2 linked regions of the Caenorhabditis elegans genome follow. The protein of the gene in region 2 purifies or fractionates together with the protein of the main gene of each other region. This does not show direct contact. Each region holds a gene or a part of one and is shown on either strand. Other genes may lie near its edges.

The links.
Region 1: the proteins of F32D8.3 (region 2) and Y26D4A.5 fractionate together in Caenorhabditis elegans (co-fractionation; one large-scale study listed by BioGRID). This does not show direct contact.

What each region holds. Positions count from the first base shown.
Region 1 is NC_003279.8:13,073,602-13,077,520, reverse strand, and holds Y26D4A.5 (uncharacterized protein), read right to left. Parts: upstream 967-3,919; 5' UTR 900-966; coding exon 864-899; intron 807-863; coding exon 501-806; downstream 1-500.
Region 2 is NC_003283.11:10,884,395-10,889,604, reverse strand, and holds F32D8.3 (TIL domain-containing protein), read right to left. Parts: upstream 2,769-5,210; 5' UTR 2,636-2,768; coding exon 2,455-2,635; intron 2,410-2,454; coding exon 2,342-2,409; intron 2,255-2,341; coding exon 1,766-2,254; 3' UTR 1,632-1,765; downstream 1-1,631. Other genes in the region: F32D8.12 (D-lactate dehydrogenase (cytochrome)), read left to right, coding at 41-416, 465-842; F32D8.11 (uncharacterized protein), read left to right, coding at 1,361-1,433, 1,485-1,615; F32D8.2 (ATPase_AAA_core domain-containing protein), read right to left, coding at 3,503-3,619, 3,676-3,739, 3,790-3,938, 3,990-4,140, 4,184-4,294, 4,340-4,420, 4,464-4,594, 4,640-4,855 and 2 more.

The DNA.
Region 1 (3,919 bases), on a different chromosome or scaffold from region 2:
TCCATCCACAACAACTAAATACCTTCGACCAGTTTCACTATTTTCATCTGGAGCACATTATTCAAATCCGGGTCGGTGAGCCCTGCTCCGATGAAGTTTGTGGAGATGAACCATTCTTATACTCTTAAATAAGAAACATTTAATTGAAAAAGTTTTATGATTAGCCACAAGTAAAGATGCATTTCTCACCAAACGCCACGGACACCTTTTGACAAATGAAAAATTGAGTTTGTTTTAGAAACGTTATAGTAGCTGATTTTTTGATCAGAAAATTTTTATCTATAGCAAAACGCCACTGCTGAATACAGAATTTTAAAATAATCCTCTACAAAATTTGTACTTTAAAGTTTGTGCATGACAACTTACCGATAAAAAAGCGAGTACATTCGTTCAAAAAAGTTCGAAAAAATCAGAGACCGCTCTCCAAGCAGTCAGTATCGGATGGATTCTGAAATATCGATTACTCCAAATGGGAAACACTTTTTCAAAAACTTACAGTTTCACAAAAAATCAGAAGAAAAATGGAGCATCACACAAACGCCCAAAGGTAACAACCCTGAAGTCATGGATCGAAACGTTATATATTCAAAAAAAAAAATCAGATAGATACATATAATAAGGGGAAAGTGATTCAACTCATGGAAACGCAAAAAAGAAAAATATAAAATATAAAACTGATTTATTTTATCAAAAATTTTTTTTACTTTTTCGAAGCAGCCAAAGTAGGCCACTAACTTGATTTTCTCAAACTTAATTGGTTGTGCTTTGGAGTCGGGGTCGTACAATGGGTCGATTAATGCTACCCTCTGAAACGTTTTATTATACTGACTGAGCCTCAATTAGTTGAACTGAAAATAACACACCTTATATCCGTTGTAGAAGACAATGATCACATTCATTTTGATCTCTCATCTCATATCAAATCCGTAGTTCCTTCGACAACGAAATTGAGACCTAATTGGACGTGGAGGACACCTAAATACAAAAATTTGATTGGATAAGTTCTATGATCAACCGGTCGCAGGCTGATAATTTTTTCTAGAACAGTTCCAACTTACTGATTAAAAAAGTCCGAAGAATTCTTTCAAAAAAAAAATCAAATAACTAGAAACCGCTCTCCAAGCAGTCAGCTACTGATGGTTTCTGTAAATGCTCAATTATTCCAAATTGGAAAAACTTTTTCAAAAACTCACAGTTTACCAAAAAATCAGAAGAAAAAGAGAGCATCACACAGACGCCCAACAATACCATGATGAATGAAACAAGCGTGTTTCTCCGATTGTACGGAGGTTTGAGAAAATGGGGACATCACCATGGATATTATGAAGGATGAATGTCAAACAAAAATAATGAGGTCCATTCCGGCGCAAAATGGCATGGAGATCCGAAAAAAACGGGTGTTGTCATGGATATTGCTCCGATTCGCGCAAAATGCATCCTGGCGCCTGACGAATATTAATGAGATGATGTCAAGGTTGGAAAGGTGAACTACTAAAACCAAGCAATAATGTTTAAAATTGTTCGGAAACATTAAAGAGGCCTTGCAGACTATTTGAATCTCTTCAAAAATCTTAACAAATGTTTGGAAATCTATTGGGAAATTATTATACAGTGAGCCCAAATGATATGAGAAATTCTTAATTTAAGGTGTTTCGTCCGTCAGAAGTGTAAGAAGTCCGTCAGTGTCTATAGAATGATAGAAAATGTACATATAGAAAAAGAACCCTGAATTGATAGTGTGGCACTTTCTCAACATTTATCAAAAAGTGCCAGTTTTACTGCAAATCTTGTCCAATTTATGCTTCCCAAATTTTTCGATTATTTGTAAAACAAAAATATCAAAATTGAGGTGAACATGAACTTGTAAAATTGTCAAAAAAAATTTTAATATCGAATTAAATATAATTTGAAAATCATTTCAGCCTAAATTATCAAGAGGTCCTACATATGTCCATGGCCTTATAGGTGATAGCGTTCTTTAAATCACCAACGATTGCCAAGTTTCAGTCTCTAAAGTAAAAGGAAAACATAAAATATCTAACTATTCTAGATATAAACTGTGGGAACCGCTTGTTGACTTTTTCCTTCATATAAAATGTGCCCGACACTCACTCAGAGCCTCACAAGATGTGGGTATCTGTGATACTTTCTGTACTGTTACTTCCCTTCACTGCTGGAATAGACTCTGGAGCCAAGAATTCTACCTACCAATTTGCAATTGTCACTGGTGAACCAACAGTGTTAAATGCATCGTCAATAATCCAAGTGGCTTCATTCAAAGAATGTACAGAGAAGTGTTTGGAAGAGTTTGATTGTGTCGTGGCTTATCAGTCAAATGCATCAGATCCTTGTTATCTGTTCCAGTGGAATTCGATTCAAGAGATTAAGAACAATGCATGTGTGCAAATGTATATTACATAGAGGCCACTAAACAATGCACAAAGTATTGGATATCCGCTTTAACTTTCCTGAAAAGAACCGAAGCATCCGAGGGGCATCGTATGGCGTTGAAAATACCATTGAGTAATCGGTCATGCTCATTAACAACTGAACAGCTGTTGGATAATCAGTATTATGTGAGTTTATAATTTGTAGTTTTCCCTAACTCAGGAAATGTGTGTATAGTGAAAAGCGGACCTAAATTGGCTCTATACTTCTAGTGGAGAAGCACAGTGGAGTTTAAAGAATATTCATCCATTTGTAGTTCTCTCAAACTATTATTCTAGTCCGGTATATTTCCAGATGCCGTCCCCATATTTATTCCCACTAATGAAGCGACAATACATTGGCGTTAGAACTTCTCCAAAATACTACGCTCTTATGACTTACAGTAAGTGAACTATAAACTCCATCCTACAAACAAAAATTTTCCACAGAGGACGACCAGACACAATATATACCTGCTGAAACTGGATGCCCAGCATTCCAGTTTACGTCCTTCCTTGAGCAAGGCATAATCGATAACTCTTCAGTTTGCTATTGGCACAACATTGCGCCAGGAATCACTCAACTGGAAGCGAAGGAGCTCTGCGAGCTTCAGGGAATGAAGCTGCTAATTGAAAGATACGAGGGAGCATTTCCGAGTGATAATGGGGGATTTCCACCTGCAAAAAGTACGCCGCTTGCACACCCTCTTGCGAGCAGAGTCGGTTTTGTCGGATACTCGGTAAAACGTCGTGCGAATAAACTAAAACTTTGCAAATATATTATTCCAGGACGTTCGAACCTGGCTCGGTTTGGAGAGAGATCCAGTGGACAAGACGTGGAAGTGGAGTGAACCATCATTTTCTGTAAAGGGTCCCGAAGGCAAGGTTGCGATGACATGGGGACCTGGAGAGCCAAAAGAAGCGCCTGAAAAGTCAGTGTTTTGGGTTTTATTGGTGAATGAAAGTTTATTTTCAGCAATTGTGCCTATTTGCGGAAAAATGATTCAATGAAGGAATTTCCTAATTACGCCCTCTTTGCTGCACCGTGAGTAGATAAAAAAAAATCAGCGATGGAAATCAGCTAAACAAATTTCAGATGCAACTCCAACGATGTTGATGGTTTTTCAATCGGGTCTCTACCTCAATCGGCGCGGGGAATTCCAACGTGGACTCGTTAGTTGAGGAGTACGGCCGCAATCAAAGATGTTGTTCAATCGACGCCGAATTCTCAATTCCATGGAGAGGCATCGAGTTGTAATATGTTCACTATATTATTTTCGCATGAAGCTATTAATAAAATGATTGTTGAAAATACCTGCTAAGAACGTCATTGTAGAATTCCAATATTGACTAAGTATATTCGGGTTACGGATGGTTTACGACTACGTAATGTCTCATTTTTTCTTTAAAGGTGGATTAGCACCAATGGGGATTTTGTCAAAATGCACTCATAATGATCCTAAACAACCAAATATCATGATAAAACATTCCAA
Region 2 (5,210 bases):
GAAATGATATTCCCTGAGCCTTCTCAGAACATATTTTTAGAGTTCATCCTCGTCCACAATTCTTATCTGCAGCTGTTTGTTCATTCCCAACAGTACATGAAGCTGCCTCTACCGTAGTTGAAGTTCTTCAATGGAATATTCCAGTGGCACGAATTGAGCTTCTTGATACAGTTCAGATTCAAGCTTGCAACTCTTACAGTAGCCTGAACCTTCGAGAATCACCAACTCTTTTCATTGAATTTCATGGTAGCAATGAAAAAGAAGTAGCTGATCAAACATCTGCTGTTGAGGATATCTGTAAAAGTCACGAAGCTCTAGATTTTGATTCTGGAGCCTCACCTGATAAGAGGGCAACTTTATGGAAAGCTCGACACAATGCATACTACGCTGCTCTTGCAATGAGAACAGGAGCAAGAGTGAGTCTTGGTATTTTGAAATTGAAAAGTGTGAAATTTTTATTTCAGGGATTCACGACAGACGTATGTGTACCAATATCAAAACTAGCAGATGTGATATCAGAAACAAGATCTGATCTAGATGAACATGAAATTCTTGGAACTGTTGTTGGTCATGTTGGTGATGGAAATTTCCATGTTATCCTCCCAACAATTGAAGAAGATAAAACTGAGCATAGAAAGATCCAATCGTTTTCTGATCGTCTTGTAAGACGTGCTCTGGCTGCAGATGGAACATGCACTGGAGAACATGGAATTGGACTTGGAAAAAGAAAATACTTGAGAGAAGAATTAGGAGAGAATACTGTACGGTTGATGCACACGATCAAACACGCGTTGGATCCTAATAATATTATGAATCCAGGAAAAGTCCTTCCAGAATTGTAAATGCGTATTTTCTGTAAGTAGAATGAAGTGAAGAATGAAAAATTACCCAACTATTTTGAATTGAATTATTTAATTAAATACTGGGCACTACAAATTTATCACTATTTTATATCAATTCCTCTTTTAACTATAAGATATGAGAAGTCGATGTCGAACTATTTTTTGCGGAATAAGAACGACGGATAGGATTTTGTATACTTGCCTTTATAAAAATGTTTCTTCAAAAATAAAATAAAAAGTCGAGCACCTAACAAATTGGAATCCGACATGATTCAAACACCAGGAATATTCACAACGGAAGCCAATTTCTTATAAGCTTATACCAAAAAAGACAGAAATTTCACTTATTCAGGACGTAGTTGATAAAGCGGATTTGCGTTTATGATACCCACCGGCACGGGAGAAAAGAACAAGGATTAGAATCTGGAAGACTGGATTGTATTTAAGGAAAAGATTTTGCTTTTTTAGTGGATAATTCCTTGCAGAAAACTACACTTTGATTCAAATTATCTCGAAAAATGAAATTCTTATTGTTTTTGTATTTCACTGTGCTTGCATTTTGTGAAATTCAATGTGTGCCATTATTCAAAGGTAACATTTTTTTGATTACTTTCATACTTTTAAAGCAAATAATTATTTCAGATATTGACTATAAGCTCTATGAATATGACACTGGAGTTGCGGTGGATTCTGTTTTTGAAATAGTTCCAGATACGTCAAAAAAAGTGGCTTCCATCGGAAAAAGACATCGGAAGCATCATGAAAAATTGTAGATAAATTGAGATTTTAATTGTTCATATTTAAATTGTTTTATTGTATTTAACATGTTTCCGCACATCGTTTTTCATAAAAATTGTTATAGTTGAATGAATCTATGAGATCTTGTTGTATGAAATAAAATGTTAATCAAATAAAACCAAGATTTACAACATTCTCTTTGCAAACCGGTTTCTGCGATGACGGAGAGCTCTCATAATTCGTTTTTGTTTGAGAAAATTCTCATACAATGCAACTTTTGCTGCATTCATTCCTGGTGGCCCATAGGAAAAGTCTGGAGGAGGAGTTGCTGATGGAGCTCCGATCATGTCAGACGAGAGTTCTTGTAGCATTGGAGGAGCCGATGGAGGTGTTGGTCCATTACGAAGAACTATCAGTGGTACTGTTACGAGTTCATCAGCAATTTCAGTAGCTGTTATAAGTTCAGTTGTCGGCTCTTCAGTTGTTGCTCTAGTAGGTTCTTCTGTGGTAGTTGTGATAACAACTGGAACGGCTTCATAGAGTCGTCTAGGTGGTTGTAGTTCAAAACGTCGAAGTTTGGTCCGTGGGCATTCTTCCGGTAGAACACACAATTTGAGAGAATTCCGAACAAATCCATTTCGACAAGTGCATCCAGGCTCACATTTAGAGCAATACTGGAATTTTTTGAATTATACCGATAATAGTACTATTGGAAACTTTGCCTGTTATTTACGATTGGATTTGAGAAAAAAGGTTCTTACCGGGTCTGGATTGTTGCAGGTTGATTCACAGGCACAATGAGAAAATGATTGGAACATAGGGCAGTTTTCTGAAACCTTTCAATTGTATTTAAATTCCCATTCAAATTACATACCTTCTCCATTTATTCTAGTGGTATCATTCATACGTAGTCTTTGAATAATCAAAGATAACCTTTGTTTATTGACTTTTGGAGTTTTCAATGTTCGAAAAGCTTTATGCCGGAACTCATGAGATACTTGAGAAAATGTGGATAACACAAGTAGAAAAGGTAATAAAATGGAGAGAGTATGCATCTGCAAATGAGAATGTAGGTGAATGTAATGAATGAGAGATGGAAATGGAACAGTTCAGACAAATGGAATGGCAAGGTGCGAATATGAATCGGAAAGGAATACGATATTATTAATTTGATGATGATGGGCAATTCCGATAAAAGCTATAAAAATCTAGAGGAACGGCCTTCAAACATTCAAACATGGCTTCACTCTACAGAAGTAGCCACTGTTTCAGTCCGTCTTTAATAGTCTCGAGGAAATTCAGATCTCGAAAAATAGTACAGTAAGGTGAGACCTGCATCTAGATATTATTACAAGGTTTTGTATGTCTCAGTAGACAAAAAAAAGAGAGAAGAAACAGTGAAACAATGTTCAGAGACGCAGACGGAAGCCGTTTGTGGAACCGAACTGAAGAAGAAAGTGAGTGAAAAACGTGACGAACGAGACGGGCTGGGGATTCGGACAAAAGGTGGTCATCTGTACAGAACTAATTGATATGGAAACAATCACAGAACACAGAGGAACATGGTGATGTAATGGAATTTGATAAGGATTGAGGGGAAAAGCTGATGAAAAGGGCGTAAAATCGAATAAAAAGGAGAATGGAAAGCGAGGGAAAAACTAGGAAGGACGAAAGAAATGAGGTGAAACGGGGGATGAAAATTCGTTGTTTATGTGGGTCAGTTTTGGAAAAAAAACAATATGCTTAAAATCAATTTCATATATAATTTGAAAAATAATAAGAACAAACTATATAGTGAGATATGTGACATTCTGAAATTTGGAATCTCGTATTAATCTTTGCCAGTGCCTGTGAGATTGTTGTTTTACAAATCACACATGCTGAAAACAGATTAATAAATAAACAATTTCCACCGGAAATCCCTACCTTGCAATACCAATGTTAACTTCATAACCGACAACAACCCTTGCTGTATCGAAACTATTAAATGAAGCAAACTCCGGTTTGAAGGTGAACATCTTTTTCAGCAAAAGGGTTTTCTGGAAAAAAAAACAAATTAGTTGCAACAAAAAAAGATAAAATTAATTGAACTTACCTTACCCCTTGAACTGATAATATTCACAAATCCGGTCAATTCTACGCCACGTACTTCCTTACTTCTGAACAACAGTTTATCTAATTGTAGAGAAATACAAATAAAATAACGCACGTTCCAATTGAGTATTCATAAAAAATTTTATAATCTTCAAGTTCAAACGAACGAACACATTTGTGTGTTTTCACTTCTTGTGTAAATCTTGTTCGCAATGTTTGAAGGAAGTTTTTTTCGCCTTTTTCAGGATACCCAGAGGATGTACTCTAAACATTGAAAGTATAATTATATTTTTCTCCGACTTTCAAAGAAATTACCATATTCATGCATAAACATATATTTTCTGATATTCCTTCAGACGTACAGTTCCTTGATGTTGGTTGAGCTATGAAGACAGATTTTGAAGATTTTTCTTTCGGATTGATTAATTCAACAAGCATTTGATTGAAATTAGTAGAAGACAATAACCTAAACTCAGATATTCTTTTTAAATATAATTTTTAGACCTAACCTGTTGAAATTCATATTCATGAAATATAGTTTCTGATTATTATTTTCTATGAATTGGTTGGATGGACGAAAAGCAAACATTGGATATTTGTCGTTTTCGTTTTCAATATCTCTGCAAATTGTTCAAATTAACATGTAATGTAAATAAGAATCTCACTTTGTTGATAAGTCGTACGAAGTGATGATTAGTGTAGTGTTCTCGAAAATGTTTGATTCCTTTAATAGATCCAACATTTTTCTGAAAAAAGGTCCGTTTTTTTCCTCAAAAACTTTTATAATACTTCAAATCTTGATCAATTGATTGTCTACGATATTCATCATATTCATCAATAAACATTGCTGAAAACACCTTGGAATCTGCTGTTGATGTCAGAAATGCTCCGATTTTTTCCAATTGATCATTTACTAATTTCTAGAAAAATTGTGATATAAACTTTTTTTGAAATATAAAACTTACTTTTCCATTTTTCAAACATAAGTTTCCATCAATTAAGAATTGTGTTATGAAATTCTGATGATCCAAAGTATCATAATCTACATCAATCATATATCTGATTTGTTGTGGACCAGAGAAAAAAGTTGTAAAATTATTTTGCTTTGCTTTTCTGAACATATTAATTTTATTTGAAATTCCAAGTTGTAGTAACAAATCTTGCATTGAATTTGGTTCATTCTGAATATTAGCGATATTGATAATTACAAAATCGAGTAACATCTTACTTTGCTCATAAATTGTGCAAATCTGAACTGGTTGTCTTGCATGAAATGCTTACTCAACGGCATTTTCTTCATAAATAGTTTGTGATTTATTGCTGGAAGAAATATTATGGCAATTGATCCCCCGTTTGATTTCTAAAATGGTGTTGAATTTTAGATTCTATTGTTAACTCATCTTACTTTTGGAATTGATGCAAAATTCACAAAGGGTTTCAGAAATTCAACAATACCGTTTCTTTCGCAAGCAAAAGCAAAATTGTAGAATGGAACTTTAACGGGCACATTTTTTTCAACCTGATGTTTATGATTAT